Caenorhabditis elegans: one gene and its partners. The protein of the gene in region 2 purifies or fractionates together with the protein of the main gene of each other region. This does not show direct contact. Each region holds a gene or a part of one and is shown on either strand. Other genes may lie near its edges. The genes, in order: snr-3, snr-2, dnj-13 and nsun-5.

Evidence for each region.
Region 1: the proteins of snr-2 (region 2) and snr-3 fractionate together in Caenorhabditis elegans (co-fractionation; one large-scale study listed by BioGRID). This does not show direct contact.
Region 3: the proteins of snr-2 (region 2) and dnj-13 fractionate together in Caenorhabditis elegans (co-fractionation; one large-scale study listed by BioGRID). This does not show direct contact.
Region 4: the proteins of snr-2 (region 2) and nsun-5 fractionate together in Caenorhabditis elegans (co-fractionation; one large-scale study listed by BioGRID). This does not show direct contact.

What each region holds. Positions count from the first base shown.
Region 1 is NC_003280.10:6,488,331-6,491,519, forward strand, and holds snr-3 (putative small nuclear ribonucleoprotein Sm D1), read right to left. Parts: upstream 1,432-3,189; 5' UTR 1,424-1,431; coding exon 1,345-1,423; intron 1,131-1,344; coding exon 1,026-1,130; intron 981-1,025; coding exon 879-980; intron 832-878; coding exon 737-831; 3' UTR 501-736; downstream 1-500. Other genes in the region: plpp-1.2 (Phosphatidic acid phosphatase type 2/haloperoxidase domain-containing protein), read left to right, coding at 1-106, 157-256, 302-420; rsp-5 (putative splicing factor, arginine/serine-rich 5), read left to right, coding at 1,839-2,026, 2,078-2,329, 2,657-2,735, 2,781-2,888. UniProt on the Caenorhabditis elegans protein: Plays a role in pre-mRNA splicing as a core component of the spliceosomal U1, U2, U4 and U5 small nuclear ribonucleoproteins (snRNPs), the building blocks of the spliceosome.
Region 2 is NC_003279.8:13,337,544-13,340,764, reverse strand, and holds snr-2 (putative small nuclear ribonucleoprotein-associated protein B), read right to left. Parts: upstream 1,369-3,221; 5' UTR 1,335-1,368; coding exon 1,332-1,334; intron 1,279-1,331; coding exon 1,108-1,278; intron 1,052-1,107; coding exon 743-1,051; 3' UTR 541-742; downstream 1-540. Other genes in the region: ola-1 (Obg-like ATPase 1), read right to left, coding at 231-416; W08E3.4 (Major sperm protein), read left to right, coding at 1,877-1,921, 1,969-2,283, 2,592-2,757, 2,813-2,912, 3,078-3,150, 3,201-3,221. UniProt on the Caenorhabditis elegans protein: Plays a role in pre-mRNA splicing as a core component of the spliceosomal U1, U2, U4 and U5 small nuclear ribonucleoproteins (snRNPs), the building blocks of the spliceosome.
Region 3 is NC_003280.10:11,543,714-11,547,866, reverse strand, and holds dnj-13 (DnaJ homolog subfamily B member 13), read right to left. Parts: upstream 2,167-4,153; 5' UTR 2,154-2,166; coding exon 2,016-2,153; intron 1,811-2,015; coding exon 1,083-1,810; intron 1,026-1,082; coding exon 896-1,025; 3' UTR 507-895; downstream 1-506. Other genes in the region: F54D5.7 (putative glutaryl-CoA dehydrogenase, mitochondrial), read right to left, coding at 297-342; F54D5.9 (F-box domain-containing protein), read left to right, coding at 3,096-3,243, 3,292-3,498, 3,547-3,723, 3,778-4,153.
Region 4 is NC_003280.10:14,967,968-14,975,672, reverse strand, and holds the start of nsun-5 (26S rRNA (cytosine-C(5))-methyltransferase nsun-5), read right to left. Parts: upstream 6,026-7,705; coding exon 5,924-6,025; intron 5,774-5,923; exon of another isoform or gene 5,764-5,773; coding exon of another isoform or gene 5,419-5,763; intron 5,345-5,418; coding exon of another isoform or gene 4,754-5,344; exon of another isoform or gene 4,016-4,753; intron 3,525-4,015; coding exon 3,222-3,524; intron 2,278-3,221; coding exon 2,020-2,277; intron 1,189-2,019; coding exon 1,073-1,188; intron 888-1,072; coding exon 749-887; intron 1-748. Other genes in the region: metl-2 (tRNA N(3)-methylcytidine methyltransferase), read right to left, coding at 4,754-5,344, 5,419-5,763; pole-4 (Transcription factor CBF/NF-Y/archaeal histone domain-containing protein), read left to right, coding at 6,328-6,525, 6,582-6,666, 6,716-6,972. UniProt on the Caenorhabditis elegans protein: S-adenosyl-L-methionine-dependent methyltransferase which methylates the carbon-5 position of cytosine 2381 to 5-methylcytosine (m5C2381) in 26S rRNA.

The DNA of each region.
Region 1 (3,189 bases), on a different chromosome or scaffold from region 2:
TATGATTGGACTTGGAATTAGCTTCTCCAGAATCACTGATAATAAGCATCATTGGAGCGATGTTCTTGTCGGAATTTTCATTGGAATATTCTTGGCTGTTTACACTGTAATATTATTATGAGTGTTTGGGAACTTTCGCATTTTTTCTGCTTTCAGTGTACCTTCTGGACAGATTTGTTCTCAAACAATTCAACTGAATCTGAAACACAACCTCTTCTGCTTCCTCGACCACCCCGTACTCCCAGAAACTCTGAAGGTTGGTCCATCGTAAATTTTAACTCAATTACATATTTTTTTCCAGATGAGGAGCGACATCGATTGGATGCAGTTTTACCTTCTACGGATAGTTCTATTGTTTTTGAAGCTACTGGACCGCAGGACTCGGATACAATTTTGTTGCCGGTTCCGCAAAGTGCATAATGCAATTTTCTTGTTTTTATTCGAATTTTTTGTTTTAAATATAAATAATTTTTGCCCTTATGTTGTTGCTCTTAATGCTTGAATTGAAGAAATTTATAGAGATCAGAACGTAACAACAAAATAAAGTACAGTTGTTCTCACGGGCTGCGAAACTTGGGAAATTTGTGTTGACTCGGAAAGCCGTAATAAATTATTTCAAAAGATTTAAACAAAAGTCAGCAACTTTAACGGGAACAAAATGTGAATTAAACTTGAGGAACGTGATACAAAAGTATAGGACGTTCGATACTCAAATTTGCTATGACCCGATGATAGCTTAACGACGTGGACCGCCTCCGCGTGGTCCTCCGCGTCCGCGACCACGACCTCCTCTTCCTCCGCGCATTCCACCACGACCACGTCCACGTGAAGCTGAAATAAAAATATTAATAATCTGTCGAAAAGACGCTTAAAGCTACCTCCGGCGCGAGCGGCACGGGCCTTCTTTCTTGGTTCATCGTCGATTAAAAGGGTGTCAAGAGCGAGTGGATCCGGCAAAATGATGTATCTGATGTTGTTACCTGAAAATCTTAAATTATATTTATTCAAATATGATTTTTAATAACCTCTGATTGAAAGCGTGTCGAGTTTGACTGGCTCCTTGTTCTTAACTGTCATTGAGACGGCACGAAGATGTGTGTTCATCGCAACATCGACTCCCATGATAGTGCCTAAATAAAATCGATTTAGTTGTTTAGTTACGTTTTTGCAGTAATTAAAATTATACAATATTATTCGGATTTATGACTTTGAAAATGTATCCTAATATAAAAACACTATAACAAATGTCGAGCAATTCGTGAAAGATTGATTTTGGTTGGTTAATAACTCAACTTCTCGATTAAAACACTTTCAAGCAGACAATTAATCTTAAAAAATACTCACCGGACACCTGAGTACCGTTCTTCAATTCAATATTGACGGTCTCGTGAGACAACTTCATCAGGAATCTGACCAACTTCATTTTTCTACCTGAAATACATACAATTATAGAAGAATAAAAGGAAACGATGGAATTCAATAGAAAATACGACGATAAAAATAACTTTTAACTGATAAGAAAGAGGTTATGACAAATAAAAACATCTGCATCAAGGAAAAATGTTTCAAAACAGATTTCCAGTGACTGGAATCCAGTCATTTTGAGCACATTCGAAAATGCAAAAGACTTGGCGGCATGCCAAGTGGTCTCGCAACGACTAGGAGTACGGTCGCACTCGTTTTCATGTGTGCGCTTTTGATAGAATTTCTTTTTCTTGACTTAGGACTTTCTCTTCTTAAAATTGAGATTGATTTCTCGAATTCATGTGTTTTTTTTACTGGGCTTAATGAACGGCGTTTAATAAATTAATTTTTGAATATAAAGTGATTTTCCAGAAATGCCGCGCCTCTATCTAGGAAAAATTCCATACAATGCACGCGAACGCGACGTTGAGCGATTCTTAAAAGGATATGGCAAAATTAATAACATCTCAATGAAGTATGGATTTGCCTTTGTCGATTTTGAAGATTCTCGTGATGCTGAAGACGCATGCCATGATTTGGATGGAAAAACCATGGAAGGAAGGTAATAAAATAATAAACCAAAATTAAAAATGTTCTAACTTTTTATTTTCAGCTCTATGCGCCTTGTCGTGGAAATGGCTCGCGGAAAACCACGCGGCAATGACCGTCATGGATCGAGATCACCACGACGACGTTCCCGCTCTCCTAGACGTCGTTCACGTACTCCACCAAGAAGACGTTCCCGCTCTCGTGATCGCAAACGTTCTCGCAGATCCCGTTCCAGAAGCTCCTCCAGATCCAGATCACCAGTTCGTGAAAGTCGTCGCAGAAGCGAATCCCGTTCGCCGAGCCCGAAAAGAGACTTGTAAGTTAACTTTAATGTGTGGATTGTTTTGGAAGGGTGCCACATCACGAACCGTTTTAGCCACAGTTCAATGAGAAATCAATATCACCTACAAGCCCACATCGCAATGGCATACACATAGCTGAGACAGTTCGAGCACAGTATGGGTCAACTATCAATACATTTCAATTCACTTCTCGTTCAGTCCCCACAGTTACCAAAAGCCGCTGTTTCGATTAAAAGAGTGAGATCCCTAACTTTGAATCAGACAACTTCGCGCAAACATATCGGTTTCGTATTCGAGTCCTTTAGATTCCGACTCTATTAAATGCAAGAATTATATTTTAGGAAGCGTGAAGCGTCGAGATCTCGTTCACCACTGCCAGCAAAAGATCGAAGCAGAACCCGAAGTGGATCTCCCCCAAAGGTAATTCATTTATGTGCTTGTATAGTAAAAATCATATGGTTTCAGAACGGCGGAGATAGAAAGCGCAGCGTGAGCCGTGGAAGAAGTCACAGCCGAGATGGCAGCAATCGCAGTGTGTCTCGCTCTCCGTCTCCAGGATCTCCAAAGGATTAAAATTGTGTTTTTATACCGTTTACTGTTGTTCATTTACCACTTCTATTTTATAATATTTGTTCATCCTCAGAGCTGTTCTGATTTTAATAATTCCCGAATAAAACCGAGCGGAGACTTCCTTCATTTTTTAAAAATATTTAAAGGCACATGGTATTATTCACACAGGTCTCACCACGATTACTTCAACTACTGTACAATATTGGGGAATTTGAAGGTCGAACGCAATTTTGGGCTAATTTACTGCTTTGTTATTTTTACTGTTCTGGAAATTGCCGTTGTACTTTTTATAGTCATTATTATT
Region 2 (3,221 bases):
AACTTTTTTTTTCAATTGATAATATTTCAAGCAAAAATCTATGTAAAACAGCTCTTGGGGCTATTTTAAATGTTAAATAATTAAATAAATAGTCCAAAAATCCAGTGAAAACTGTAAAATTTTGCAAAAATCAGTTTTCCGCGTGTATTACACCGAAAATCAAAGGACTTCGCACGATTGGAAAGGCTTAAAATCAGAGGATTCCGCTGGAATTTTCCAGAAGAACGTACTCTGCTCTCATTCGGATCGATGGTGCAGAACGGGAAGTTTTCAGCCTGTGCTTCGGATTTGGTGAGCACATTGAAGAATGTCGACTTTCCAACGTTCGGAAGACCCAGAATTCCGACTTTAAGGTTGGTACCAAGACGTCCGATCAACGCGGGCTTCTCCTCGACGACGTTCTTCTTTGGAGGCATCTTTTTGATGGTTCCCTGACGACTTTTAAGTGTTTTACAATAAAAAAAAGATGAGAATTTAGAAGATAGAGAATTCTGGGTTTAAAACCATTGAGCTATCAAAAACCTAGCCTACTGAATCTCTCAAAATTCAAAAAGTTTATTCCAGATTCTGAACAGCTTACGAAGATTGGTGGGTGATGGGAAGATCTCGATCACCCGAGAGAGTATCGATAAATTAAATATATAATTAAAGGTATTTCTACCACAAAAAATGAAAAGAACAGAGAAAAATACAAGATCGGTGGGAAAAATGATAGAAACATGCGGATTTGGATAGCAAAATTTTAGAATGGACGTCCTCCTGGTGGGCCGCCATATCCTGGCTGCATGGCTGCCATTCCTGGTCCTCCGTGTCCGCGCATGGCTCCAGAGAGGCCTCCTGGTGCTCCGCCTGGTGGCATTCCCGGCATTCCTGGCATAGCTGGCATTCCACGGCCTCCTGGCTTGGCTTGTCCGACACCTCCAGCTCCTCCGGCCTTGGCGAGTCTCACTGAATCGTCATCTCTTGGTGGTGGTCCGTCGACGGTCATCGAGACGATATGTTCTCCGCGGACCAGTACGAGGCCGAGAATTCGCTTTTCTTCTCCATCGGTCTGAAAATAAAATGGTTTTTGTCTTCAATCAACGCTGCAGAAACAGAAAACAATACCTTCTTTCCGGCCTTTGGCTTGATTTGTCTGTGTTCCTCGCACTCTGCGAGTAAAATGTTCATATGCTTGTCGAAAGCCTTGAAAAATCCGATGAAGGTTCTACCGTCCTGAAGGATGATCTTCATCCTGTAGTTGAGATGAGCCATCATCTTATTATTCTTGGAGATAGTCTGAAAAGAAAATATTTTGTATTTATCTCCATGAGAACTGTAGAAAAACTTACCATCTTGAGGCGTTGGTTGTGATTTTTTGTCTAGGACCTGGAAATAAGAATATTGAAGTTTTACTCTTTCAAAATGAAAGAAATTAAAGAGTTCTGATGATACAAGAGATGAAACAAACGAATATTTCTGCAAAACAACTTCTAAAAGTCACAAGAACCGTTTGAAAACCGATCGTTTGAAATTACATAAATACCGGCGAGAAATCAAGGTTTTGAAATTGATTGAAATTTTAAGCGATGAAGAACCTTTAAATTCACTAATTTTTCAATTTTTTCGAAAGAAAATCTTAAAAATCAACTGAAAACCGACAAAACAAGCTGAAAATCAGCCAAAACTGCTGGAGAATAATTCGAAAATCTAGAGACGCCGCAACGAGACCCATTCGTATAAATGCGTGCGCCTTTAAATCGATTTGCGCGGCAGTTCAAATAAAAAAGGCGTGACCCCACGGAAAGCAGAAATTGGGGAAGAGAAGGTGAGGGGAGGGGTATAAAAAATGCAAAAATCGATTATTTCGAATATTAGTCCAATCGAAGAGTGGTGAATGGAGCAGTCTAACGGTCATAAGTTGTATGTCGTGTTGGATCAAGTGAGAATTTTCGAAAATTTCTTGAATTATCCGGTAATTTTATTCAGACATTCGTGTGTTTCGATATTGATCAACCAAAAAATGCGTGTCAAAAGTTGAAATTGAATAGTTTAGCTGGTGTTGGACCAATTTATTGGAGATTTCTGGTATTTAAGCTCAGGTGTGAGCAGCCTCTGGAATATCTGAATTTTTTCAAGACAAATGCTCCAACTCGATATTTCATAACCCCAAATCAGGCTGTTTTGCGTGACGATGAGCCGATTGAAGTGTGTATCACACTTTATCAGAACAAGTTCCGACCGAGACATGAAATCGTGCTTCAAGCTGCATCAATTCCAGAATGTGGAGATTTCGACCCGAAAGTTGGTTTTATTTTCGTACAATAATTGAATATCATATAAAAAAAATAAAGTAAAACTTTTCGAAAACCTTCAGAAAAGATGATATTTCAAGTTGAAAACCGAAAAGCTGTCAGTTTTCGCTAAATTCCGATTTGAATTTCCGCGTTTTTTGTGAGAGCGTTGTTCGATGGAGCGCGCTTGCATTTGACAAAAACGCGCAAATTCAAATTGCAATTAAGCAAAAAAACTGAAAGATTCTCGATTTTCAGCTGAATTTCAGCTTGAATTAAAAACTTTACAAAAAAAAAGAAAGTAATTTTTCCCTACAGAAACTCTTCGATTCTCCGGAAAATGTCCAATCCATCTCCCTGGATCTCGGCACAACCATCATGAAAATCGAGTCGGCAGTGGAGATTTCAAAGACGGCAACCGATTTTCATACGGCTCTCGACGCGTCTTCAGTGATTGGTTCGGATCGTGTGGATCAGCTTAAGTGTAATAGAGCGCGTTTGCTTCGTTTTTTTTAATTTTAAATTTGCGAAAATTTCAGCGATTCTAAACCTGACGAAAAGTGACACAGCACTGCTTGAATCTAATATAACTCAGGCAAAACAGCTGAAAATCACTTTGGATGCACAATTGCAACAAAGGTAGTTTTGAATTTTTTCCGGGTCTCGCCACGATCGCGTGCGCCTTTAATGGTGTATCAAAATTTAAAAAAAAAACGGATTAAAAACTACAGTACCCCTTATAGGCGCACACTCTTTACATAAAAGTTTTGATCGTGTCGAGACCCGATACAACTCAAATTTCAGAAAAGCTCTGGTCGATGAGTACAAGTCGAAACTGACAGTGCTGGAAGGAAGTTACATGCGCAAAAGTGCAGAGGTACTGAGATTTTTTATTTTGAAAAATTTAAAAAAAAACTTGAATTTCAGGTTCAACGTCTCCAAAACGAG
Region 3 (4,153 bases), on a different chromosome or scaffold from region 2:
GAGAATAATTTTTTGGGTGTAGTCGAATTTAGACGATATGTAAAAACGATACATCACAAAAATTTCGTTAACGTGAGTTATGGCTTCGAAATAGCGAATAATTCTAAATTTTTTGAACTTCGCGCGCGAACGAGCGCCCTCTGCGTGTACTCCTCTCGGACAATCATATAATTAATATGTTGATTATTGTTTTCGGCTAATTTTAGGTGATTGTTGCGGTTTTTATTGTATTTTTACAGCAGTCTTAATTAAATTCGACTACACCAGCCTTAAATATTAACTGAAACATTAATTACCTCTACTTGCAATCTTGCCAATTGACGTGAATCCTCTGGTCAGCATTTTTGCCGCTGCAAACTGGTAAAGAATGATGATGGTGTGCCCTCATCTCCTTTCTTTCAACGCCCGATATCATCTTTTACCCCCACGTGGCCAAGGACAAGACAATCGATACGATGAGGAGACAGATCAACTGAACACACGAAAATCACAAAACTTTCTTTTGCTTTAATTTAAAAGTTTATTTATCGGAAATGTTGATAAGGAAGCACGAATTAAAATTGAAAGAGGGGGCGGTTGAGGGGGGATACAATTACACCGAGTATCTTGTCAATGAAGGTTTTCATGTCATTAGAATGAGACTTGATAAACGATAAAAAATGCATCTGAATAACTATGGGCAATATGTGTGAGATGGGTAATTAACAATGAAACATGGGTGATAAAAAGAACAACATCCTAATAAAAAATCTCTTAAATACCCGCTTGAAAACATCGAACAAGGCGACTGAATACTGCTAAATCGAATCCAATGGCAATCAAGAGTGATTGTTTACCCGTCTTGGTTCGACTGTAGTTGATTGATAAGCAAGAGAGGGAAAATTGAAAAATGCGATTAGAAGTTCCTCAGAATCACTTCCCGTTGAGTTGGATTGAGTTGTGATGGGAATTCCACGTCAAACTCAATGATTAAATCTCCTCTGTGAGATGGAGACTTTGGATTTGGAAGTCCTTTTCCAGTCAGCCTGAAAGAATTAAAATTAATAATTTACTTCTCGTGAATCTCAAAATTTTTAACCTACCGTCTTGTAGTTCCCGGCTTAATGACATCGTTCAATTGAAGACGGTAGTCTGCTCCATCCAACGTTGGAATCATAATATCAAGGCCAGTCAATGCAGACTTCAGGGAGATCTTTTCGACGCGTTTGATGTCAGATCCCTCTCGCTTGAATTTCGGGTGTGGCTTATCCTTGATGACGAAGACTATGTCGGCGGGAGTTCTGTTCGGGTGCTGATCACCTTCTTTTGGGAATGTGATCTTTGTGCCTGACTTCCATCCTGGTTTAATAGTGACCGTCAAAACTTTGTCTTCTAGGCGTTGAGCATTGTCCGTCATAACTTTTCTTGTAATCTTCATCTTCTTCGTTGTACCTTTCAGTACATCCTCCAAACTGACAGAAAGATCATGGAGCACAGCAGGATCTTGACGAGCATGTCCACGTCTTCCACCTTGATGCATGCCGCCGAACATACCGTCATCCATACCACCTTGATTCATGAAGAACATATTCGGGCCTCCGGCTCCACCACCAAGATCAAACATTCCAGGTCCACCAGCACCGAACGGATCGGATCCTCCAAAGAATGATGAGAAAATGTTCATTGGGTCTCCACGGAATTCGTAGTGCATTCCACCGCCGCCACCACCTCCGGCTCCTGGTCCACCTTCCTTTAGTCCTTCCTCTCCGAATTGATCGTAAATCTTCTTTTTCTTATCATCGGAAAGAACATCGTAAGCTTCGGCAATTTCCTGTAATTAAAAAAAATATTATTTCAGGTTAACATCAATAAATTCCCAGAAAAACTGCAATTTTACTGGGATTTTCTATATTTTGATTAAAATCGTTTTTAAATCGAGTGCTTAAAAATAACAACTTGGTCATGAAAAGTACAGTATCCTTCACCGAGGACCAAAAACTTTTTTTTAAATTAGAAAACTAAATTTTAAAAAATACCTTGAATTTGTTCTCAGCTCCAGCTTCCTTATTCTTATCCGGATGGTATTTCAAAGCCATTTTACGATAAGCCTTTTTGATTTCATCGTCTGTTGCACCTTTGCTGATGCCCAGCACTTTGTAGTAGTCTTTTCCCATTGTGGAAAGTAATCTGAAAAGAAATCATATGAATTTTTGAAATATTAACCAGTAACAGGTTAACGGAATAAATGAAGCAACAGATAGATAAAAAGAATACACCCGGCAGAATAAATATGGGTCAACATCAGAAGAGGAAACACGGAGAAATGGAAGAGAGAGTGCGCCGAATCATGAGAGAGAAGAGTGCGGAACTTTCCAGAGCGTTCTATTTACTCGCGAAGCGCAGTGCATGTTCGATCTTCCGTCGGCCGGTGGAGCGCACATGCATCACTCGTTTTTTTTATTGAAAATACATTGGTTTCGCAAGATAAAAATGAGGAATGAATAAAAGCATGAGCACGATACAAAGAAAAGAATGAGCAAGAGATAAGAAATTGTGCTTTTTGGTATTTATTTTCTGAAAAAAGAATATTCTGGAAGGCGAAGTTTCGTCACGAAAAAATATGTTTGTTGGAAAGAATGATTTACGTACACTAGGAAGAAAAGTTATGCTTAAAATTCACTTGCTTATTTAAAAATTGATTATTTAAAACCTGAATTGTTAAAATTTAAATTATTCGAAGAGAAAATAAAGAGAAAAAATTGTTTCCATGAAATTAGTTTTGTTCTCGTGTATAAACAGCAATCAGATATTATTTTTAGAAAAGATTTTTAGAAAAAACTTTAATAAAACTGTATTGAATTAAACAATTTTAAAAATCAAGCCTCTATCCATAATCCAGAAGGCCTCCTGAACTCTGCGCTCGAAAACCCCTAGGCGCGCCGAAAAAAAATAAATAATGCGAAGAGTACTGTATCAAAGGGACATCAACGGCGCACAGTATGGTCCTGCCACGGAGACATATTTCTGTTTTCCTAAACAAGTTTGTGCGAACCTCCATGCTTTTTCACCGGTCCCAAAGTATTTTCCTCTGATTTTAAAGTATTTTTCGTATAAAAATGTTTCGGCGAACCGAGCCACCGTTCCGATTGTTGGCTAGAAAGCGAAGAAATTCCGATTCGACGCCCCCAATCACGAAGTTCTTTGCAACAGTAAAACGGGAACGTTCAAGCTCTGAATCGAAAAACGTATGCCAGAAGTTGGACGGTACGACAATTTTTCTTTTAATTTAAAATTAATTTTCTTGATTTTCAGAAAGTTTCGAAGCTCCCAACAACTTATCTCAAACCTCTCATACCGATTCACCAGACAATGGGCTTTTGTACTCCTTGGAGGATTTGCGAGCACTTTTAGGTGTTCCTGTCAAATTTTCCTCGAAATGTGTGCCATCTCCAGATGCACCAGTGGGCTTGGAAAACCTGCCGAATAGAGCCTATTCGCATATTTTCACAATTCTTGACAGTTAGTTGTGAAGTACTGATCAGAAATTTTAACATTCACATTTTTCAGTGCAATCCATTAATGCGCTTTCACTGACATCCACAAAGTTGTGCTCACGAGTCAAAACCTACGTTTCAACCCACGATTTTTTCCGTCGAATGCAATTGGATAATCTTGACTTTCTCAATAGCTCACTCCGCCCCGACGATGAAGAATTCTTAGAGAATGATCCTTTCACTGCATGTGGTTAGTGTTGCAATATTTTTATTTTCGTTTATAAATCTAAATGTATTTTAACAGGTGGCCTCATCAAATCCATCACGATCACAATGAACACAAAGATCCGCGCTCAAGTCTTCCTGAACATCTGCCGGAATTTGCGTGATCAACTCGGAGGCTCCCTTCATGGTTTTGGAAGACTCCTGGAAACGATAACGCACAATTGGAAGTTCTCTGAACGTCGTATAATGGTAAAAGCTGCAATCATGATCGACGCTGATCTCCGTCCTTCGATTATCAAGGTTCTTACTGCTAAACCGGGCCAGTTGATAGGTCTCGAGATGAAAGTTCGTTCCGGGTTGACCCAACTCTTCCTCAACTTGAGTCAAGACATCGATGAAGCTTCTCCACAGGAGATTATCGAGTTTGGCTCCTGGTTGTCTGTTCTGATCCGAAA
Region 4 (7,705 bases), on a different chromosome or scaffold from region 2:
GGGATTTTTGATTGAAAATTTGATGAGAATCTTTGGAAACTGGAAAAAGTAATAAAAAATCGGAAAAAAAGTTTCACTTGAATTTTTCAAAATTTTACAAAAATTTTACCGGGTTTTCTGTTTATTTTTGGTATTTTCAGGTTAAAAACATTTGGGATTTTTTTTTCAATTTTTTCCATATTTTTATGAAATTTTTCAAAATTTTCCGGCATTTAAGATTTTTATTCGAATTATTTAAGATTTTTTAAAAAGGATTCTAACATTTTTTTTGGTTTTTTTTCAAATTTTTTTCGGATTTTTTTTGGAATTGTGCAAAAAAATTTTGGGTTTTTTAATTTTGAAAAAAATCTGGATTTTTTCTAATTTTTTCAAAATTTTCTGACTTCTCAGATTTTGCCTGATTTTTTCTGATTTTTTTTGGATTAAAAAAAATTTTTTTTCGATTTATTTTTGGCTTTTTCAGGGTAAAAAAATCGGATTTTTTCGAGTTTCACTTTAAAAAAATGTTTTCGAATTTTTTTCCGGGTTTTTCGGTTCATTTTCAATTTTTCACATTTTTAATAAAAACAATTCGGATTTTTACGAATTTTCTGAATTTGAGATTTTGTCGAATTTTTTTTCGATTTTTAGATACAAAATTGAATTTAAAAAAAAATATTTTTTCATGAAACTTGAAAGCTTCCAAATTTGAAGCTCGAATTTAATTTTTTAAAGCCAAATTTTTCGAATATTTTTTTCTGCAACAAACCTTTGAAAATTTCTTATCAGTGACGTCAGTTTTCAGAAAATCTCCACAAAATGAGCTGGCGATTGCGACTTTCGAGGCGTCAAGGAGCTGCTTCATAGTGGCTACACGGTCCGCCGCACGATCCATCGCCCATACTTTTCTGGAATTTTTTTTTGTGAAGTTTTAGATTTTGCAAAAAAAAATATTTTTCAGGTTTTTTTCTAGAAAATTTTGGATTTTTTTCAGATTTTTTTTTTGGAATTTTTCAAAATTTTCCGACTTTTCAGATTTTTGCGGTTTTCTTTATTTTTCCAGATTTTTTTATGGGGAAAAAATTTCAGGTACCCCTGATTCTCCATAATTGCCGCCGCATGGCTCGTCTTCATTCCAGGAGCTGCACACGTGTCGAATACTTGGGAGCCGGGACGTGGATTGAGCAGGAAGGCCGGGAGACATGAAGCCTGAAAATTTGAAAAATTTTATTGGAAATTTAGGAAACAGATAATTATTTTTTCTCTTTCTGATAATTTCGGAATTCTTCTTTTTTTTTCGAATTTGTTCAAACTTTTTAGATTTATTGGATTTTTTTTATAAATTGAAATTTATTAGTTTGTTTTACGAACTTTTTTCCGATCTTCTTCGAATTTTTTTTTGGATTTTCTCCGAATTGGTTTTAGATTTTTTCCGGAATTTTTGGGTTTTTTATCGAATTTTTCGGATTTTTTTCTCGAATTTTTCTCGAATTTTTTCCGGATTTTTTCAGATTTGTTAATTTTTTAAACGAAAATTTATCAGTTGTGTTCGAATTTGTTTGGTTTTTTTTTTTGGATTTTTTCTCGAATTTTTTCCGGATTTTTTCAATTTTTTTTTGATGTTTTTTCGGAATTTTCCGACTTTTCAGATTTTTTTTCTTGAATTTTTTCGGATTTTTAAATGGAAAAATTATTTCAAATAAAAAAAAATTCAAGTTTAATTTTGTATTTTTTATTCAAAAAATCTCTTTTTTTTTTGGGGAAATTATCAAGTTTTTCTATTACAAAATTCGAATTTTCGAGACAAAAATGTGATTTTTCTAGCTATTTGCAAAAAATTAATTTTTTTTAATTTGTGTAATCTTTTCCTAAAATTGTTTATTTAAAATTTAAAAATTCTGGTGTTTTTTCTGTGTAATTTGAAAATTTAATTTAATTTTTTTTTGTTTTTTAGATTAAAAATTACGTTTTTAAACATTTTTTTAAGCTTTTTATTCAGAATTTTACTGGAAAACTTAAATTTTTTCCATCAAAATTCACCTTATCCTGTAAAATCAAATATCTCTGCTCAACCATCCAATATTCATAAAAATTCTGAATATTCGGCGCAAAAATAATCAAATTCTCGACATGCGGATCCACATACACCTCATCATCCTTCATTTTTGTCACCATTTCCGCGAAATTCTCGGGTTTCAGTGTCCCGAGAATCTTCCATTTTTCGGTTTCGAGAGTCTTCATAGCTTCATCTGCAGTCCATTTCAGTGTATTGATACGCGCATATCGGGGGATTTGGATCTGCGAAAAAAAATGTTGAATTTAGTTTTAAAAATCAGTTTTTTTTCGAATTTTTTTTCAGTTAAAAAAAAAGTTCAAAAATTTTTTCCCGATTTTTTCGGATTTATTCCAATTTTTTCAGGTTTTCAATTTTTTCAACGGATTTTTTTCGAAATTTTTTCAGAATTTTTCAATTTTTAAATCGATTTTTTAAAGTTTTTTTTCGATTTTTTTTTCGGCTTTTTTTTAAAGGTTTTCAGATTTTTTTTCGGTTTTTTTTCGAATTTTTTTCAAAAAAAAAATTTTCCGAAATTTTTCGGATGTATTCAGAATTTTTTCCATCAAAATTCACCTTATCCTGTAAAATCAAATATCTCTGCTCAACCATCCAATATTCATAAAATTTCTGAATATTCGGCGCGAAAATAATCAAATTCTCGACATGCGGATCCACATACACCTCATCATCCTTCATTTTTGACACCATTTCCGCGAAATTTTCAGGTTTTAAATTTTTTTTTAATTTCGGATTTTTTTTTGGATTTTTTCCTATTTTTTCGATGTATTCCGGTTTTTTTTCAGGTTTTTTTTCGGATTTTTTTTCGATTTTTTTCCAAAAATTATTTTCCGTTTTTTTCAGATTTTTTCGGAATTTTTTTTCGAAATTTAATAGTTTTTTATTCGATTTATTCGAATTTTTGCAGATTTTCAGGCTTTTTCCGGTTTTTTTTTCGTTAAAAAAATTCTTTATAAAAAAGTTTGATTTTTTTTGGATGTATTCAGGTTTTTCAGGTTTTCAATTTTTTTTTTCTCGAAAATTCAGTCATTTTCAGCGAGAAATTCAAATTTTCAGTTAATTTAAACTGTTTATTCGATTTTTTCGAAATTCATTCAGATTTTCGGGGTTTTTCTCGAAATTTCAGTCAATTTCTAGCGGGAAATTTAAAATTTCCATCTCAAAGCACCTTTTTCATTCCATCGTCCGCTTCTTTCATCGCCTTAATTCCTCTTCCCTCGTCTTGCATCGCGTGCTCCACCTCCTTAATCCTCTGAATTCTCCTTGAAATTACAGATTTCAACTCCTGAGAGCATCTGGTCAATCCGGAGCCAACAAGTGTCTCATACATGAGCACATAGAGCAGCTCGACGGATCCACCGATATTCGCATCGCGTTTCATCGATTTTAGCTCCTTATCTTGTAGAATTTCATCGAAAACCGGCCGAAATTTGAGCGATTCACACGAAAGTCGGAGAAGCGCCTTTTTGTTCTGGAAAATTCAAAAAATTAGGTCAAGTTTAAAGGGACATGCTGTTTTATTCTCTTGGAACGCTGGTAGGCAAGCACGTCTCAGGCCTAGGTGCCTGCCTGTCGCCTAGGCTTTGAAGGCAGGCAGGTCGTACGCTTATCTGTTCGAAAAATTAGGTCAAGTTTAAAGGGACATGCGGTTTTCCTCGTGGTGGGTCTCGCAGCGACACTTGGAGTGTTTCTGTGGTAGGAACGTCTAGGCATAGGTGCCTGCCTGCCGCCTAGGCGCTGATATATATCACCTTGACCTACGCGCTTATGTTTAAAAAATTGGGACAAGTTTAAAGGAACACGCTCTGATTTCCCTTGCGGTGGGTCTCGCAACGACATTTGGAGTGATTTTGTGGTAGGCAGACACGCCTCAGGTGCCTGTCTGCCTATCAACTAGGCGTAGGCCGCCTTCAAAACAGGCAGGGGTTGTGCACGAAATGCTTAGACTTTTTCTTTAAAAAAGAACAATTTATTGCAGCAAGAATGTGGAAAATTGGACAAAATCGGCTCGAATTCGAAATTTTCAGAATAAAAATACTGAAAAATGGAGTAAAAACTAGAAAATTGGAGAGAAAAGTGAAATTTTAAAGAGAAAAATCGATTTTTTTGACCAAAAATGATAAAAATTCAACAGAAAATCAGATTTTTAGTGGGAAAATTCTGTAAAAACGGGAAAATCCGGGAAATTAAACTGAAATTCCATCATTTTTTAGCCAAAATTTGAACCTTTTTCACCAAAAAATTCGAAAAATCCAACGAAAAACCGGATTTTTAGTGGAAAATTCGATATCGATCAGTTTTTACTCGAAAAATAGTGAAAAATAGAATTTTTCGGACATTTTTGAGCCAAAATTTCTGAAATTTTGGACTTTTTCACCAAAAAAAAATTCGAAAAATCCAATTTTCAATGGGAAAATCGAATTTGATCAGTTTTTAGTAGAAAAATTGAATTTTCGCCTATTTTTGAGCCAAAATTTCACAAATTTTGCACCTTTTTCACCAAAAAAAAATTCGAAAAATCCAATTTTCAATTGGAAATTTGAAATTCGATCAGTTTTTACTAGAAAAATTGAATTTTTGCCTTTTTCGAGACAAAATTTCACAATTTTTAGTTATTTTTCACTGAAAAATGAGTTTTCGAGCCGATTTTCTAGATTAAAAACAACAATTTCAATAAAAAAAAAAACAAAAAAAAATCAATTAACAAGACTTCAAAAATTTGCCCTGAATCCACTGCCGGTACATTTTCACTTGTTTCGCTCGATTCACAATGAGCCGTCGATCCACGTGCATCACTTTCTTCTGAAGCCCGTGCTCGGCGAGCAGCGTCTCCAACTCTTCCATATCGAAGAAATAGACCAGGGTTCCGTCTCCTCGGCAGTACAAATTTCCGTCGATTAGTCGATCTTTTTTGAATCGCAACTGCGTTAAATCGTATCTCCCGTAGTCTTTGAGCAGCAGACTTCCACCGGGTTTGAGCAGCCGGACGAGATTTTTCAGAGCATTTTTGATATTATCCGGATGGATAGCCGACAGCACGTAGATACACACAATATAGTCTAGAGATCCGACGTTTGGAGCCTCCTGGGAAGCCGGTTGCGTGATATCCCACACAAATGCGTTCATTTTCTCCGGATCGTAGGCGTCCTGGGATTTCAGGACTCGAATCGCGTTTGGAGCATAATCACAGCTGTGCAGCATGAGCCGGGAGCTGGAATTGTTCACTTGGAGCAGTGGGAACGTGGTATTTCCGACGCCACAGCCAACTTCCAGTATTTCTATCTTTTCTTTCTGAAAATCAAGGTTTTTTTATGTTTTAATGTTTTTTTTTTGAATATTTAATGCTCAAATTACCTGTAAATTACCTGTAAATTACTCTCATCCTCCACATTAAGCTCTGGGAACTCTTTTAACAGCCAATTCCTGTCTTTGAAGAATCTATTCTCATTATGAGCATAAAAAGCATCCCATTGATCCGCTGGGGTGCTTAAAAGCCGCATCGCCTTCTCCTCATCAACCTTCATCGACTTTTGACCTTGCACAATCCGCTGAGCTTCTTCCTGTTGCTCTGGGGACCATTCCACGTCGTCCCATGCGTTGTGCTCGAAAACTTTGGTGTCATCGGTCAAAAATCGGGTTCCGAAGGGGTTGCATTTGGGTTTTTCGTCGGGATTCTCTTCGGCGCAGGCCATGATTGGCTCGTCTTTCATTTTATTACCTGTGAGAATTGGAAAATAATTTAAACAATGGATTTTGAGAGGTAGAAAACGAGATAAAACGGAAGAAAATCCAACAGCAAAAGAAGAAACAGAGCAAATAATAAAATATTGCTTTCCACGAATTGATTTTCCGTAAAACTGCTAAACTAACTTTATACGAACTCCCGTAGACCGCATTTCTCACACTTTTCTCCTTGGCCAAAACGCAGCGGATAATTTCGGCGACCTCGTTGTACAGCGCATCGGTTGCCATCTAAATTTGAATAGTTTTCGACAAAAAATATAATTTTTCAATAGTGGAAAGCAATATTTCAAGATGAAATTGAGAAAAAAAGCAAGAAACATTAGAAAAAAAGAATTAAAAATATTTTTTGCAATGGAGCGCACTTTCTCGTCTGCCTTTGCGCGTGATGGTGTTTGCGTCCAGAGCGGAAAAAATTGAAAATTTGATTTTTTAAATTTATTTTTTTTCTGATTTTTCGCATTTTAAAATGCATTTTCTATTGTTTTTCTTCAAATATTTGCTTAATTTTGAATATTTTTCAGATTTAAAACATGGCCTGGCGAAAGAAAACCAAGAAAGCCGCTCCGATCGCGCAAATGAGCGAGGAGGACGTGCGAGAAATCGAGGAGCACGTCGAAGAGCTCGTCCGATCGCAATTGCCACTGGGAAGAGTCAAAAAAGTGGTCAGAATGAATCCGGACGTCGAGATGCTCAACAATGAGGCACTGCAATTGATGGCGAAGGCGGCGGTGAGAGAAAATCGCATTTTTTCTTCGAATTTTCATTATATTTTTTTAATTTCCAGGAGCTCTTCATCAAGGAGCTGAGCAACGCGGCGAATCAGAACGCAGCGCTGGAAAAACGAAAAACCGTCCAGACGAAGGACATTGGTTGGTGGAAAAAACTCAAATTTCAGCTAATAAAATCGATTTTTTGCAGATAAAGCTATCAAGAAGACGTGGGCCTTCGCTTTCCTGGAAGATGCTCTGGATGGGTGGCCGAAGTTGGAGCCAAAGAAGCGAAAAGTGAATGCGAATTCCGGTCAGGATGAGACGGTTGTAGAGGAGGAAACGATTATCGAGGAAGAAGAGGAGATCCACGTGGAAGAAGAAGAAGATGAAGAGCTTCCGGAGACCGTTCTCGAAATCGATGAAAATGAAGAAATCGCGAGAGATAAATTTGCCGAGCAATTTTGATTTTATATATTTTTGTATTTAGTTTTGATTTTTTTCTCTTTATTTGAATAAATTTACTTACATCAACGATTTATTCTTCTTCGTCTAGTCACTTTTTTTTCAGGGAAAATAAATTTTCAGGAAGGTCCTTCGGAATTAGAAATGGACAGCAATTTTTGATTTTTTTTTTCGCCAAAAATACGGTATCGGGTCTCGACGCGACAAATTTTTGAAAAATATGTGCGCCTTTAAAGAGTACTGTAGTTTCAAACTTTCGTCGCTGTTGAATTTTAATCGATTTTTAAAAAAGTTTTCTTTGATTTATAATTATGATATATTCATGAGTTAAAAATATATTTATTCATATTAATCCTGAAAATATGAAAAAATCAATAAAACTCCAAAGCAATAAAAGTTTGAATATACAGTACTATTTAAAGGCACACACCCTTTTGCATTTAACAAAAATGTATTTATTTATCGTGTTGAGACCGGTTTCGCGTGTAATTTGGAAATGACTCAATTTTTTTAAGTAAAAAATTTTTTTTTTAAGTAACGAAAATACTTTTAAAAAACATGCGAAATCATTTGAATTTACGGTTTTGCCGCAAATACCTAACGAGACCCAACAATTAGGGGCTTTTAACATTTGTTTCCGTTTTAAAAAAAATATTTTCATAGAACTTGCTTACTTTTCAAAATAGATGTAGGAAAATTCATAGGATGCGTACAATTTTGCCGATTAAAATTGAAA